2 linked regions of the Yarrowia lipolytica genome follow. The protein of the gene in region 1 purifies or fractionates together with the protein of each later gene. This does not show direct contact. Links are inferred from orthologs where the notes say so. Each region holds a gene or a part of one and is shown in the gene's direction. Other genes may lie near its edges.

Region 1 (7,441 bases):
GTGGTACAGTAGGTGGCCGTAATAACAGTGCTAAGATGTCATTCGCATTACTCGTTGTGTATCAGTGGATGGCAATGTTCATGATCAGTGCCGTAAACAGAAGAAGGCATCATTCGCGTTGCTCATGATGATTGCTTCTACTTATCGGCCTTGTAAGCCCCATCATTCACCGCTCCACTAGTACTGCTCTCCTCTCCAGTCATCCAAGCAGGCATCTTTCTATCATTAATGTCCCCCCTCATGGCCATTCTGTACACACCAGCGTACACATCCGTACCCTCCATCCGTAGCGTCACTTTCCGCGAGTTCCGGGTAATTCTAAACTCCACCATGCTTTGAGGATTCTCCGATCTGTACTGCAGAGGCTCGGTGATCTTTTTTGAGGTGAATTTCGCCGCAATTCTGTTGGCCTTGGAGTTGGCCACTTTGGCAGGCGGCTTTTTGACCATGGCCAGAGGCGACTGGTCGACTTCTCCGGTAGCAAAGACGGACCAGGAGCCCATGGATGCGGCTTTTCGGTTGTCCGAAAGAGTAGTCACCAGGGTATTGAAAGAACGAGTGGGGAGAGCGCTGGAACGGACCAAGGAGATAGGGTCAGCCACAGTAGTGACACTCTGAGTGACAGCATGCAAAACTGTTTGGGCGTAGACGTGATCCATGCTCAGATGAATCACGTGAGGCGAATGGTAGGGAAACACCAGGTACAGGGGCTTCAAACGAGCATCGTCATTGGCAGCGTCATATGGTTTGACACGAACCACAATGACAGGCAGCTCAGGATGACGCATGGCGTGCACGTGGCATCTAAAGGCAGGATAGATTGCCTCACTCATTCGCGTGGCAATGGTGCCAATGCTCAAATCAGGTACCTTCTCTTTACCGACAGAATCTTTCACTGTACTGTAGCTCCAAACCAGCATTTCTGGACGTTCAAAAACGTCTCCCCAAATGTCCAGTTGGGCCAGTTGCAGTAGATTGAGACCGGCATTCCAGTACTTTTGTCCCACGAGCTGCATGTATGCCTTTCGAGACTGCACTCCTTCAGTCAGTTCTTTACGAGCATCGTCCATGATCTTTTCGTACTTGGGACCACCTCGAGCCACAATAACGCCTTCCTCCACTTCATCAATCCCCTCATCGGCCTCAGCGTCGTCCTCGTCGTCTGAGAGCGCGTCCAAGTCGAATAAATAGTCGTCCTGAGAGTTGATGGCCACCAGCGGCAGACAGTCTTTAGACCCCAGCCACAGCTGAGTCAGGTTGTACAGCGTGTTGTGAGAACACTTGTTGAGCGCGTTTCGTCGCAAATTCGTGGTCTGCTTCAGGACCATCTGGTCCCTTAACGTGCCATTGAACTTCATGGTGTATCTTGTGTTGTGTTCGCGTCTCCATCGCATCGCGACCTGCATGCTGGAAGACTATGTCAACATTGGAGATCACGTGATTTCGGGATCCGGGAAAACATCCCCTAGAGAGCTGAGTTTGAAAATACGGTAAGCTAGAGACGGATATCTCGTTGGTTGTAGTGTGTGATTCTCTTCACAAAGGTGATATATATGTTTGTAGCGGTTTTTAGGGCGTGATATCTTGCCTTCTATACACTACATCGTTTTCCGTTATATACTGTCCTGAATTGGAAGTCAATTAGGGGAAAAAGATAGCGTAAGAATCTCCCAGACGAAATCTACATAATGGTTCTCTCAGCTCTGTTCTATGATCACTATGTCTTGTTTCCACACTCCAAAACGCACGATTTCGGTGTGGCTGACTAATCAAGCAAACATACACGCAAGAAAAGTGTCCAAGAGTAGTGAAACGAGCTTCAGGATAAGAACTGTTGATTTTTTAATAAAATTACTTGCAATTTTCTCCCATATTAGATGTTTACTCGTTTACCAATATCACTTCCAAACCGGGGCATCAGTCTTTTTAAGGTTTGGAAGGCAAAAAAAAATATGCATGATATGGAAATTTTCCTGGACCGATTTCGATTTCCATTTACACCCTTTACACCACACAACTACGTTTCAAAAAAATGGTTCGAGACACAAAAGACAAGGTGGACAAGGGCAAGACGGATTTGTTTGTGCGGTCCATCCCTCTGGAGGTGACGAACGAGGAGCTGGCGGACTTTTTCTCACAGGACTTCCCCGTGAAGCATGCCGTGGTGGTGACCAATGCTGCGACCAAGGAGTCCAAGGGGTTCGGGTTTGTGTCTTTCACGACCGAGGAGGATGCTGCGGAGGCGCTGCTCAAGTGCCGAAAGCAGAAGCTCAAGGGCAAGATTCTTCAGATCGAGTTTGCCAAGCCTCGAGAGCGAAAGACCAGAGAGGACCGGCCGTTTGAGAGCAGTGGAGACAACAATACTTCTGTGGAGAAGCGAAAGCCGCGACTAATTGTGCGAAACCTGCCGTGGTCGGTGCGGGAGCCCCAGGATCTGATCAAGGTGTTTTCCAAGTACGGCAAGGTGGTCGATGCGTTTATTCCCCGAGGAGCTGGAGGCAAGATGAGTGGGTTTGGATTTGTGACCATGAGCAAAAAGCAGCATGCTGACAAGGCTGTGGCCGAAAGCAAGGGTCTTGAGATTGACGGGCGAACTGTTACCGTTGACTTTGCCATTCAGAAGGACAAGTGGCTGAAACATAAGGACGGAGAAGAGGTCGAGGACGAGGAGTATGACGACGACGAGGACGAGGTCAAGGACGAGGTCAAGGACGAGGACGTGGATACTGAGGTCAAGGATGAGGTCAAGGAGGAAGATCTCGATCTGGATGAGTCCAATGCCGATGTTGCCGAGGGTGACGATGATGACGAAGACGAGATTGAGGTGGATGAGGAGGAGGAAGAGGAGGAGGATGATACTCCCAAGGTCAAGGCCCAATCCAACTCCTCGACCGTTTTTGTGCGAAACATTCCTTACGATGCCACAGCAGAGTCCCTCAAGGAGCACTTTGAGAACTTTGGTGCTGTTCGATACGCTCTTCCTGTCATTGACAAGACCACGGGCCAGCCCCGAGGAACTGCCTTTGTTGCGTTCGAATCATCCGACGACTGCGACAAGTGTGTTGAGCGAGCTCCTGCTGCAGCCACCACTTCTCTGCTTGTTGCTGATGATACCGACCCTCGGTACGTGTTTGAGGGCCGAATTCTGGCCGTCACTCAGGCTGTCCAGCGAGAAACCGCCAACAAGCTGTCTGAACACAATTCGAAAAAGCGAGCCGAGGCTCTGGGTAAGCTGCCCAAGGAGAAAGATCGACGAAACGTCTTCCTGATCAACGAGGGTCGAATCGGCGAGAACACTGCTCTGGGTATGACTCTGCCCAAGGCCGACATGGAGCTGCGACAAAAGTCATACGACCAGCGAAAGAAACAGCTGAACGGCAACCCCAGTCTGCACGTGTCCCTGACTCGTCTGGCTCTGCGAAACCTGCCCCGAGCTCTCAACGCGAAGGGTCTTAAGGCTCTGGGTCGAAAGGCCGTGGTGCAATTTGCCACTGAAGCCAAGGAGGGTGCTCGACAGCCTCTGTCCAAGGAGGAGGCTATTCGGTCGACCAAGGCTCGAACCGAAGAGGCTGCCAAGTCCAAGCATGGAGTGGTCCGACAGGCAAAGGTGATTATGGAGCAGAAGGAGAGCGGAGAGCTGGGCCGATCTCGAGGATATGGTTTCCTGGAGTTCCGAGACCACAAGGCTGCTCTCATGGCGCTGCGATGGCTGAACGCTCACGAGGTGTCTACTGAGGAGGTTCTTGAGGGCTACGAGGAGAACGAGCGAAAACACGTTGATCTTACTGGTTCTTCGCGACGTCACCTGGTGGCTGAGTTTGCAATTGAGAACGCACAGGTTGTCAAGCGACGAAAGGAGACTATGGCTCGAATCAACATGCAGAAGAAGCGACATCGGGACGACGAGGGAGGAGCGGACGAGGGTTCTTCCGAACACAAGCGACCCCGACGAGAGGGAGACCGAAGAGACCGAGGAGACCGAAGAGACCGAGGAGATCGAAAAGACCGAAAGGGTGACCGAAAGGGCAAGGGGGGAGACAAGAAGGATGAGTCTCGACAGCCTGAAAAGGACAAGAACCTGGAGCTCGGAAAGCTCATTGGACAGAAGCGAATGCGAAAGAAGAAGGGAGGAAAGTAAGCGTTCCTTCAAGTTTGAAGGAAACAAACAGTGTTGTTGATAGACTAATTAACACCGTAGAGCAGTGGAGTATGGGCTCGCTGCTTCTGCATTAGTATGATAATATAGAAAATGAATGCCTAAAGTCTATGAACGAGTAGGGTGACAGAGAACTAGAGATGCAACAAAAGTACATTATGCACAGTATATACTGTAGTACAGTACATACAGTAGTATGTCTCGCTCCAAGGGGCAAAAAGAAAAGCCCGACGTGGGGCTTGAACCCACAGCCTTGAGATATTCTCAAATCTGAAATACAATGGACTAAGAGTCTCACGCTCTACCGATTGAGCTAGCCAGGCGGTGAAAAAGTGCGAAACTTTGGTCAAGGGTATCGAAAAGGTGTTTAGTCAGCGGGGGAAAAGGAGGAGAACGCAAAAATGCGAGAACACGATGGTTATGTGCTTTTCTGAACACCCTAACCCGGGTCCTATGTGCGGGTATAGCATATAGGCTTCAAGTAGCTGAAATGTATTTCCCTAGAATAAAAAAAATGGCCAAGAAGCTCTAGACTCAAGGACTGAAGCGAAATTGCTCATTCGCGATCCATTCACTAGTGTAAAGTCATTCTCACGGCGCGATCGATGGGCCGAGTTTCGGGGTATGAGTTGTCGTGAGTAATATAGTTAGAAATTAGAATAACAGCTTAGATCCATCAATTAAATTCAACAAAGTTACTTATATTTCTCAGGTAAAAATAGTTTTTACAATCAACGTGTCTCTGGGCAAAGATGGCCAGAAAGAGCGGACTATTCACGTCGTAAAGCCATTCCATCGATTACCGACAGTGATCATCACCCAGATGCCAGATACTCTACATTTTTCGACCCCGCTGTCATAGCTCCTTTGTAAGGGTGACTTTAGCGGAGATTAAATGCTATAAAATGACAGTGGCAATGATAAGGAGTGTAGGGCTGCTGGAGCAAAGGGATGTATATAGTGGTATCAGATAGAGTCTTCCAGAGCAGTGGAATTCACTTGTTTGATCCAGATGTCAAAATCAGGCGAGTGAAGTCGACAGTGTACGCAATTACTACTTCAGCAGTCAGCAACGACGATGTGTATTATAGAGAGTGCTGATTGTAGTCACAGTGCGCAGAACCAATACTCTGGAGGGATCCAAAGGGCCAGTTACAAAACAGCACCCAGTGTATATCCAATCAGGCTATTCGTGGCCTCGATATTATTATCGCTTAGATCTCGTCTAGAGCGTTTCCCCCCCCCCCCCCCCCCCCCCCCCCCGGTGGGTCGAATTCTTTTTTGTTCTTTTTTTATTCTGTTTTAGTTCTATCGACAGGTCAAAATTACATGTTGGGACGGATGAGGATAACGAACTCTATCGAATAGAGTTGATTAGGGGTGCACTCGGTGACGCTAAGAGAAGTGGTAAACAGGACCCAGGTTCAAGCCGCCACAATAACACCACCACCACCGCCACAACAACCACCATGTCTCTGTTTTCGGCGGCCACTACAGCCGTGGAGCGAACGGGCTATGGCTCGCGCTACGACCACATTTTCGACATGTTCCATCCCATAGACGGCCGGATTCCCGCAGTTTGCTACAAGCGGCTTTTGGAGACCATCAACGTTTCGGGCGAAGACAAGGACCGGCTGGCGACGCTGGCAGGATCGATTCTGGAGGGCGGCGACGGCAGCGGAGGCATTCTCACATCGTCCTTCACTCGCGAGTCGTGGCGAGCAGCCCTGTTGCTGGCCAATGTGGCGCAGGATGGCCTGCCGTTCGACGACCCATCGCAGCTCGTCAACGTGGACACTCTGACGCCAATGGACTTTTCCGAGGAGGGCGAGCGGTCTAGCATCAACTTTAGCGCCTCGACAACCGGTAGATCACAGACGCCACTGTTTGGAGATGATCTCGACGACCATAGCATCCAGAGCAGCAGAAGTGAGAGCATCATCCACAACAACGGACACAGCAGGGGCCACAGTGCTCTGGACTGGAACCCGGAGGAACAGGAGGCTCTACAACAGTCACAGCTGTCGCAATCGCAGCTGTCCCGCTCTACAACCCCACCTCCTCTCAACCCCCAGGCCCTGGTTCCCGAGTCCGAGTCTGGAGTATGGACTGCCCCTCCACGACCCGATTTCGCACCCAACAAGGCCGACTCAGTGACACTGGCTATTGTGCCCGAACGCGAGGGCATGTTTTTGTTCCGTCACGTCAACTACTCAATCTCTTCAGTGTCGGGAACAGACCGCATCACGGTCATCCGACGGTACTCGGACTTTTCCTGGCTGCAAGACTATCTTCTGAAGAAGTACTGTTTTCGACAGGTGCCACTTTTGCCGCCCAAGCGACTGGCTGTCAACGGTCATTATCTGTCCTCCGACAACTACTTTTTGGAACGTCGACGACGAGGTCTGACTCGGTTCATTAACCAAGTTCTTCGGCACCCCGTGCTGGGCCAGGATGAGGCAGTGCGAACTTTTGTCACCCTGCGAAACGATATCAGCGGCTGGAAAAAGAGTGTGTTCAACACCGCCCGAGAAGAGTTCAACGGACGAACGATTGATCCAAAGTTTGTGCAACAGTGGGATGAGCAGCAGGCGACTGCTCTATGGGCCGGTCTCATTGTTGAGCTGGACAGATCGCACGACTCCGTGGTTCAGCTGTGTGTTCTTCTGGACCGAGTGGCTAAACGACAAGAGGCCCAGGCTGTTGACAGCGCCAAAATCGCATACAACCTTGGCGCAGCTCTTCCTCCCTCCGCCCGCGTGCTCTACTCTGTCGCCGATGACGGGTGCGTCCAGCAGATCACTCGGGGTCTCAGTCGGGCTTCGGCACGCATTGAAACCGACTGCCAGCTTCAGCAGGACGAGGCACGAGGTTCGCAGGTGGGAGTGCTTGAAGAGGCCAAAAAGTACCGGGAGGCGCTGGGCTCGATGCGGGAACTGTTTGACCGGTTGGAAAAGTACGGAGGCAACAACATCCCGCTGCTGGAGAAGCGGATCCAGCAGAACCAGGGCCGTGTGACTCTGGCCCGGCAGAGAAAGGCGCTCATGTCGGAGATTGAGAAGCTGGACCGCGCCATCAAGATGGACACCGAGATGATTGCGGCCCACAAGAACCGAACGTGGCTGATCAGGGAGTGCATTACGGAGGAGATTGGCCTGTTCCAGAAGACGCAGTTGCAGATATCCAAGCTGCTGCAGGAGTTTTGCGTGGACAAGATCAAGTACGCTGAGCTGTATTCGGACAACTGGGGAGGGCTGGATAATGATGTTATGGATTTGCCAGTCT
Region 2 (8,081 bases), on another chromosome or scaffold:
ACAAAGTGGCAATTCTGTGTTCGAACCATCACACAACCCAACATATTTGACATTGCTACAAGTATTCGACTTGTTCTTCGGCCGCACGACATGCATTGCTAGCAGCACACTTGCAGAAGCTTGGCCCATGGTTAGGTTGACCTTTAACCAGTAAAACGCAATATAGGTTGCCAATTAACAAACAACACAGCCCAGAACTGGTGTAAAGGGCTTGGGTTTTGTGCAATCAACTCATTGACTCACCTCCCCCAATGCTCCATGAACCCATGAATCCATAGTACCTCCATCCCAATTCAGAGAGGCTCAGAAACACGCAATTGGCAAAAGTAAACAAAGGTCTCGAAACCTTAAGGGGTGCAGTGTTGCAAAGTTAAAATTACACTGTTGGATGGTGTTCCACTCAAACTGTGGATCGATCAGACGGTTGCACTAAACCAAGATTCAATATGCTCTACAAGTAGCGTGCCATGAGGTGTATAATATCACACATGATCAGAGTTAAGGCCTGGAAAAAAAGTGTCCGCGGCTATGTAACACTGCTGAATACAGTGTGTGCCGTTTCCACGGACTGGAATGAATGCACTCAACACGTTGGTAGCTAACTTCCCCAACTATTGACTTCACTTTACTGTAGCTACTCTAAGTACGATAATGACATCATGAATCACCAACTTTATCTTCCCCACCGAAAGTAAGAGATGAAAGAGAGGCTAACAGCTTTTGTAAGAAAATCACAAAATCTACTTACCGTATTACAAAAGTACAAGTATCAGTAACCAGGTGGCGCAATGTGCTGTAAGTTTTTGTAGTAGCAATTTGCTACTTATACTTTGATGAGTCGCGATACATGGCCACCAACATATATATATATATATATATTCACGGCTAGATTGCTAGATTTCAAATGACGGTTCGCTCCCAGCTTCAAGAGCGAAGCCTGTTGTATCAAAGGTCAACTGTGGCGCAAACTCCTTGAGCTCTTCGGGCTCAGATTTAACCTCGACATTTTCACCATTGGTCGATAGCTGGGGTGGAGGGAGCTTGAGAAGCAGCTGGGTAACCTGCACATCTTCGTCTGAAGTGAAGTCAGATTCAGATTCAGATTCGGAAAGGCTCTGAGACAAGTCAGGCAACAAATAAAGACGATTTTCACGTGAGCTACCAGTGGGAGAGGGCGACTCACAATTGAACTCTCCAAACGCTTGGTCCTCTCCACCGCCAAGATTATCAGTTACATCAAACTCTGACAGCTGAGTTCCCAGACCAAAGAAGTCCAAAGTAGTAGGGGATCCGGGCAAGCCAGGAGAAGTATAAGAACAGCTTTTGGAACTTTTTGAGCTGTTTCGACTGGGTTTCTGGCAGGAGCCCGACTCAGTGTAGCTTGCAGGAGACCTGCCTCGTACCACAATTTCTGGTGTGTGGCTAGAAGCGATCTCAATCAGATCGTGAACATTGTTATGTGAGATCATTGCCATCAGGTTCACCCGCAGACGGTACTTGCACCCTTCCCGGCGACTTCTGTGAATGAACTGGAACTGGAGGCGCTCGAACCGTGCGACCCGGGAAATTGCCGCTTTATTTGCGTCCGGGTAGGTTTCCAGAAACTGAACTTGTGTCTTGGACAGGTTAGCCTGCTCTGTTAGTGTCAGATTAACCTGGTCGAAAATCTCCTCAAGCCTCTTGGGACACCGGACGTTGGCAGTGTCTCGGATGAACTCATGAGGGGGGAGCTTCCCAGGAAACAAGATGGTGTCGCTGGGGGCCGCTTGAGATCCTGGATCTCGTTTGGCGGTGTGTTGCATGAGGGTGGCGGGAGCGTTGGTGGAGCACACACGGGCCTCCACTCGCAGCACAAAATAGAGACATTGGGCGTTCTCGTGAGGACCACTAGCGATGTACACTGGGCCTGTAGGGTACGGCGGGGTCATTGGAACGATGGAATGCTCCACAATGTCGAACGCAGCACACAGTGACATATAGTTACGTCTGTAGCAGATCCAGCTGCCGTTCTCCTCTTCGAAGCCGCGATCCAGCCGCGCATGAAGTCTGATGGTGGCTGGTGTACCATCTGCGGAACAAAGTGCCACTGCCTGCTGAGCACTCACGAAGGGAGGACCTGTCTTGTAGAGCGACTTGGATCGGGGTGCAAGCTTCGGGGTGGCTGCTGGGGGCGACGACAATGGTGAAAGGGCAAGTCCCGAGTCTCGCTTGTTGACACGAGTGGGAGACGTCTCAGGCGATGAGTCCAATCGTCGTTCTGTGTTAGTAGGAAGTGGGAGATGAGGGGTATGAAGAGGTTACAACTAACTCGCTGGTATCATGATATTGCGTCTGGGTATCGAGATCAATCAAAGTGGGGGTATCAATATTAATTGGGGGTTGCGGGGGCTCGTGTTGTGTCGGGGGCGTTGTGTTTGTGGCCAACTAGTTGCAGTAGGGTGGGCCGTGACACAGAAGGAAGGTGTTGGTTATAAATATGCATAGGTTAATTGGAGTCACCTGTTAGGGTATCACTGTACATACTGTACATACAGTACAGGGTGGGTTCCAAGTACAATCAAATGGGCCCACAATAACTAAGTACCACTGAATATCAGTAGTCGCAGAAGGTCAAGACATACCAGTGATTGGTCTACTGATGCTAATTAGTTGTAAACAAGCTGCACCAGACTGATCATGTTTCAGCGCGGACCTTGTAGTTTTCTTACAACCCTACACCTCATAGAATAGACATTCCTTCATTACCAACCGTGTATATTTACAGAAGACTCAATAAGTTATTTGTCAGCAGCAGCGACATAGAGGACTGTGTTAGTGGTGTTATATATCATCTTTGTTGAATCTGTAATAGATGGGATAACTCGAGAAGCCCACAAGGCCAGTTGGTCGTCTATTCGCCTCAACTAAGCCGTGGGAATCATATTAAAAATCGATTCACATTCATATGATCAACGGCATTGAAGCCCACGCATTAATCTGAAGGCGATCGTGCTTATAGAGCTGCTGTCGTGATCCCCACTTCTTCTGGCCCAACCTTTACATTATTCCAAATGCCACTTTTATACTCACCATTGTTTCCTCGAATAAAAACGTCATCATCATAGATACCGACGACCTTGTCATCAACCAGCTCCTCAGCGTTCTCCAGAACAATGCTCATGTATCCATCAACAGACTGGAGGACGCCAGAGAAAGTGGTGCCGGTGGAGACCCGAACGTTGACCTTCTTGCCCGAAATCTCGCCCAGGAAAGACGACGGGTCGTATCGGACCTTATCTGTGGAGGACATTATCTGTTGTGTAGGGATGTTTTTTTCTTTGGTGGTGATCAACTTTTGGTTCGTGTGCCATGTTGAACTTACAACAAGGTGCCTTACCCTACCGGATCATGCAGGATCATGCAAGGCCTAAAAAAATTCTGGATTTTAGACAAAATTTAGATAGAGAAATTCGCCTGCAGGAATCCAAGTGAATACACACACTCACAATGGGAAAGAAGCAAATCGACCCCCGAATTCCGGCTCTGATCCGAAACGGAGTCCAGGAAAAGCAGCGTTCTTTCTTCATCATTGTTGGAGATAATGCGAAAAACCAACTCCCCAACCTGCACTACCTCATGTCGTCCGCAGACATTCGAATGAACAAGTCTGTTCTGTGGGCCTACAAACACAAGTTGCTGGGATTCACCTCGCACAGAAAGAAGCGAGAGACCAAGATCAAGAAGGAGATCAAGCAGGGCATCCGAGAGGTCAACCAAGAGGATCCCTTTGAGCTGTTTGTCTCTCTGCAGAACATTCGATACTGCTTCTACAAGGACACTGAGAAGATTCTCGGTAACACCTACGGCATGTGTATCCTGCAAGACTTTGAGGCTCTGACCCCTAATCTGCTGGCCCGGACTATTGAGACTGTCGAGGGTGGAGGTATTGTGGTTATGATGCTTAAGAGCATGGCCTCCGTAAAGCAACTGTATACTATGACCATGGATATCCACTCCCGATACCGAACTGAGGCCCACAATGATGTTGTTGCCCGTTTCAACGAGCGATTCTTGCTGTCTCTTAATGACTGTCGAACGTGTCTCGTTGTTGATGACGAGCTCAACGTTCTCCCCATCTCGGGAGCCAAGACAGTCAAAGCTCTGCCTCCTCTTGACGAGGACGAGGATGTTCCTGAGAACGTCCAGGCTCTTCGAGACCTTAAGGATTCTCTTGCTGACATCAAGCCCACCGGTGACCTGGTTAAGATTGCAAAGACTGTGGACCAGGGTAAGGCTATCCTGACTTTCATCGATACGATTGTTGAGAAGAACCTCAAGAGCACAGTTGCTCTTACCGCTGGCCGAGGTCGAGGTAAGTCGGCTGCTCTTGGTGTGGCAATTGCTGCCGCTGTTGGCCAGGGCTACTCCAACATCTTCATCACCTCTCCTTCCCCCGAAAACTTGAAGACCCTCTTCGAGTTCATCTTCAAGGGATTCGATGCCCTAGGATATGAGGAGCATGTTGACTACGACATCCAGCAGTCCACCAACCCTGCTTTTAACAAGGCCATTGTCCGAGTCAACATCTTCAAGTCCCATCGACAGACAATTCAGTACATTGTCCCTGGCGACTCGCATGTTCTGGGTCAGGCGGAGCTGGTCGTAATCGATGAGGCTGCCGCAATTCCGCTCCCCGTTGTGAAGAAACTGCTTGGTCCCTACCTTGTCTTCATGGCTTCTACCATCAATGGTTACGAAGGTACTGGTCGATCTCTATCTCTTAAGCTGATCCAGCAGCTGCGAGAGAGCTCTGGAAAGACTCAGATGGGCCGAACTCTGCATGAAGTTGTGCTGGATGAGCCCATCCGATACGCTCCTGGTGACCCCGTCGAGAAGTGGCTCAACAAGCTGCTGTGCCTCGACGCCACTATTGCTCCCAAGGCCAAGAATGCTGCCACTCCTCACCCTGACAAGTGTCAGCTTTTTGCCGTCAACAGAGACACTCTCTTCTCCTACCATGCGGTCTCTGAGGCATTTTTGCATCGAATGATGGCTCTCTACGTGGCATCTCATTACAAGAACACTCCCAACGATCTGCAGCTGCTGTCCGATGCTCCCGCTCATCAGCTCTACGTTCTTCTGGGCCCCCAGGAGGGTAACCAGCTTCCCGAGCCTCTGGTTGTTGTCCAGGTTGCGCTTGAAGGTGAGATTTCAAAGGACAGTGTTCGAAACGCCTTGTCTAGAGGCCAGCGATCTAGCGGTGACCTGATCCCCTGGCTCATGTCCCAGCAGTACCAGGACGACGAATTTGCATCTCTCTCTGGCGCTCGAATCGTCAGAATTGCCACCAACCCCGAGTACATGGGTATGGGCTACGGTGGCCGAGCTCTGGACTTGCTTCAGGATTACTTTGAGGGAAAGTTCACAGATATCTCCGAGCGAACGTCTCTCGAGAACCAGTCTATTGTCCGAGTTACCGACGCAGAACTTGCCAAGGGCAAGCTGACCGATAAGATCACGGTTCGAGACGCTGCCTCCATGCCTCCTCTGCTGAACAAGCTGTCCGAGATTCCTCCCCATCGACTCAACTACATGGGTGTTTCTTACGGTCTTACCAACCAGCTGCACAAGTTCTGGAAGCGAAACGGCTACGTACCTGTATACCTGCGACAGACAGCCAACGAGCTCACTGGTGAGCACACTTGTGTCATGCTTCGAGGTCTCAAGGGTCAGGACGACTCCTGGCTCGCCGAGTTCTCCAGTGACTTTCACAAGCGGTTCCTCACTCTTCTTTCTTTTGAGTTCAGCTCGTTCACCGCTTCTCATGCTCTATCACTTGTGGAGTCTGCCAAGTCGATGAACAAGAAGGAGAGAGTTCCTGTCACCAAGGCCGAGCTTGACCGACTCTTCACTCCCTTTGATCTGAAGCGACTCGAGTCCTATGCCAACAACCTGTTGGATTACCACGTCATTGTCGATATGCTTCCTGCAATTGCTACAATGTACTTCCGAGACCAGTTCCCTGCCAACATCAAGCTGTCTATTGTTCAGTCTGCTGTTCTGCTTGGTATTGGTCTTCAACGAAAGGACATGGACAAGATGTCTGCTGAGCTCAACCTGTCTGTTTCTCAAAACATGGCGATGTTCTCCAAAATCATCCGAAAGGTGTCCAATTACTTCCGAGAGGTGCTCTCTTCTGCCATCGACGAGCAGATGCCCAAGCAGCTTCATGAAGATGTCCGAGAGCTGGATGGCGAGGAGGATATGTTTGGCGAGGTCCAGGAGGATGTTACTGACGAGCTTGAGGAGGCTGGAGATGAGGTGACCGCGGCTCTTAGAGAGAAGCAGCGAGAACTCATCAATGCCTTGGATCTCAACGAGTTCAAGATCAACGACGATGACTGGGAGGGAGCCAAGAAGGGGGCTTCCAAGGCTGCTACCGGCAAGGCTGGCACAACTCTTGCTGTGCGCAACAGCAGCAAAGAGAAGAAGCGAAAGGCCGAGAGTGTCGATAGCATCTACAAAGAGGAGATGAACGCTCTCAAGTCTGCCAAGAAGAGCAAGAAGGGCAAGAAATAAACTAATGACATATAAAAACTGATAGATTTATTACAATGTATGTACAATTAATTAAGTAGAGTCACGATTATAAATATGTGCATGGTCTTTACTCAAGATCGTAATAGTCCAGAATGACATCAAACACCCAATCAAGAGTCTCGGCCACGTCGAAATCGGTGGTGGGCACGATTCGGATTCCTTCTCTGGTGGCGTCCTTACTGGGTTCTCCGTTGGGATTTTCGTTTTCAAACAGCTGTTTGTGGGTCTTTAGGTAACCGGGCCAAACAATGTTGTGGAAGTATCCCTCAGGATCCTTCCAAAACCCTTCCAGAGTGACGTATCCGGATCGAGCTTCTCGTCGAGACTTGAGGTTTTCGTAACTGGATCTGACCAGAATCTTGATATCGAACAACTCGGTGAATTGAGCGTCATGGTAGACCATGATACCATCCAGAATGACAATCAGCTTGTTCTCAAACTCAGGCATGTAAGGGTGCATTCGACGCTTAAAGGCGTCGACAGCGTTTTCATCAAGAGCAGCGGGTCCCAGGGAGTTCTGGTCCTCCTTCGATTTGAAATTTTTGGGCAGCTCTCCAGTCTGCTTGACATGGCTCAAAACCTTGGACAGTAGCTTGAAATCAAAAGCCTCGGGACAATCCCAATCTTGAACTCCATCAATAACTGGGATCTGCGAGTCCTCCAGGTAAAAGTCGTCTTGGTGGATGATGATGACGTGGGGAAGAATGTCTCGAAGCAGACGAGCTAGAGTCTGAAGTTAGTGCCAGTTCTGTAACGGGGACTGCACCTCGTGCAAACGATTCATACTCACACTCTTTCCACTGGACGAGGGGCCACTGAGTGCCACCAAAGTGACCTCGCGCTTATCCTCCTCCTTGGCCAGTTTTTTCTCAGCTATTTTTCGTCGGATCATGGTGTGATGGTGTCGAAGATGATTACTGCACCTAGCTGCGATAAGCCTTACTGCTTACATGCAGCTTAACAATGTGAGACGAAGGGGGGTCTTTTGGCAATGAGAAACAAACTGATATGAGGGGAAACTAACTGCTCAACTGATAGTGCAATCTGGAATAATTTTTGTTCCATCAAAAAGGTTCCAGGTTTACATGGCTTTGCGTGCAGTCGGAGAGGTATATGTTTACCCATGATATTTCTTGGGGCACGTACAGTAATACTATAGTTACACAGCAAGATGATCTTGTACGGTATGTACTTGGTTGAACCAACACTGACTGAGACAAACGACAGACTAAAACAGCCGTGGAGTTATGCCCCCTAATTTGATTAGCCAGTTTTAATGCTTTGATGGCTGGTTCTCAAGGCAACTAACTAAATAGTTGCTAATGACATTAGTACGAGTATTGTAGCGACTTACTTGTACATGCTGTACTCACCTTCAACAAGAGATGTCAATGACTATTGTCGTACTCGTAGAAGCACAACACAGTATGTACAAGCAAGACATTTTGTGCGACGCTACAAGTACAACTACAAGTAGACGAACATGCACTGGTGTGTACGAG

Evidence for each region. The genes of interacting proteins can lie anywhere in the genome.
Region 2: the proteins of YALI1_A03757g (region 1) and YALI1_B19388g purify together in Saccharomyces cerevisiae (affinity purification with mass spectrometry, with the first as the bait; 3 studies listed by BioGRID). This does not show direct contact. The link is inferred for Yarrowia lipolytica from reciprocal best matches to the Saccharomyces cerevisiae genes NOP4 and KRE33.

Annotation. Positions count from the first base shown.
Region 1 is NC_090770.1:370,302-377,742, reverse strand, and holds YALI1_A03757g (uncharacterized protein), read left to right. Parts: upstream 1-2,032; coding exon 2,033-4,138; downstream 4,139-7,441. Other genes in the region: YALI1_A03763g (uncharacterized protein), read right to left, coding at 138-1,406; YALI1_A03721g (uncharacterized protein), read left to right, coding at 5,626-7,441. UniProt on the Saccharomyces cerevisiae protein: Required for 60S ribosomal subunit synthesis. Probably involved in the processing of 27S rRNA to produce mature 25S rRNA.
Region 2 is NC_090771.1:1,934,245-1,942,325, reverse strand, and holds YALI1_B19388g (uncharacterized protein), read left to right. Parts: upstream 1-3,486; coding exon 3,487-6,558; downstream 6,559-8,081. Other genes in the region: YALI1_B19390g (uncharacterized protein), read right to left, coding at 894-2,257, 3,070-3,289; YALI1_B19348g (uncharacterized protein), read right to left, coding at 6,647-7,309, 7,370-7,471. UniProt on the Saccharomyces cerevisiae protein: RNA cytidine acetyltransferase with specificity toward both 18S rRNA and tRNAs. Catalyzes the formation of N(4)-acetylcytidine (ac4C) at positions 1280 and 1773 in 18S rRNA.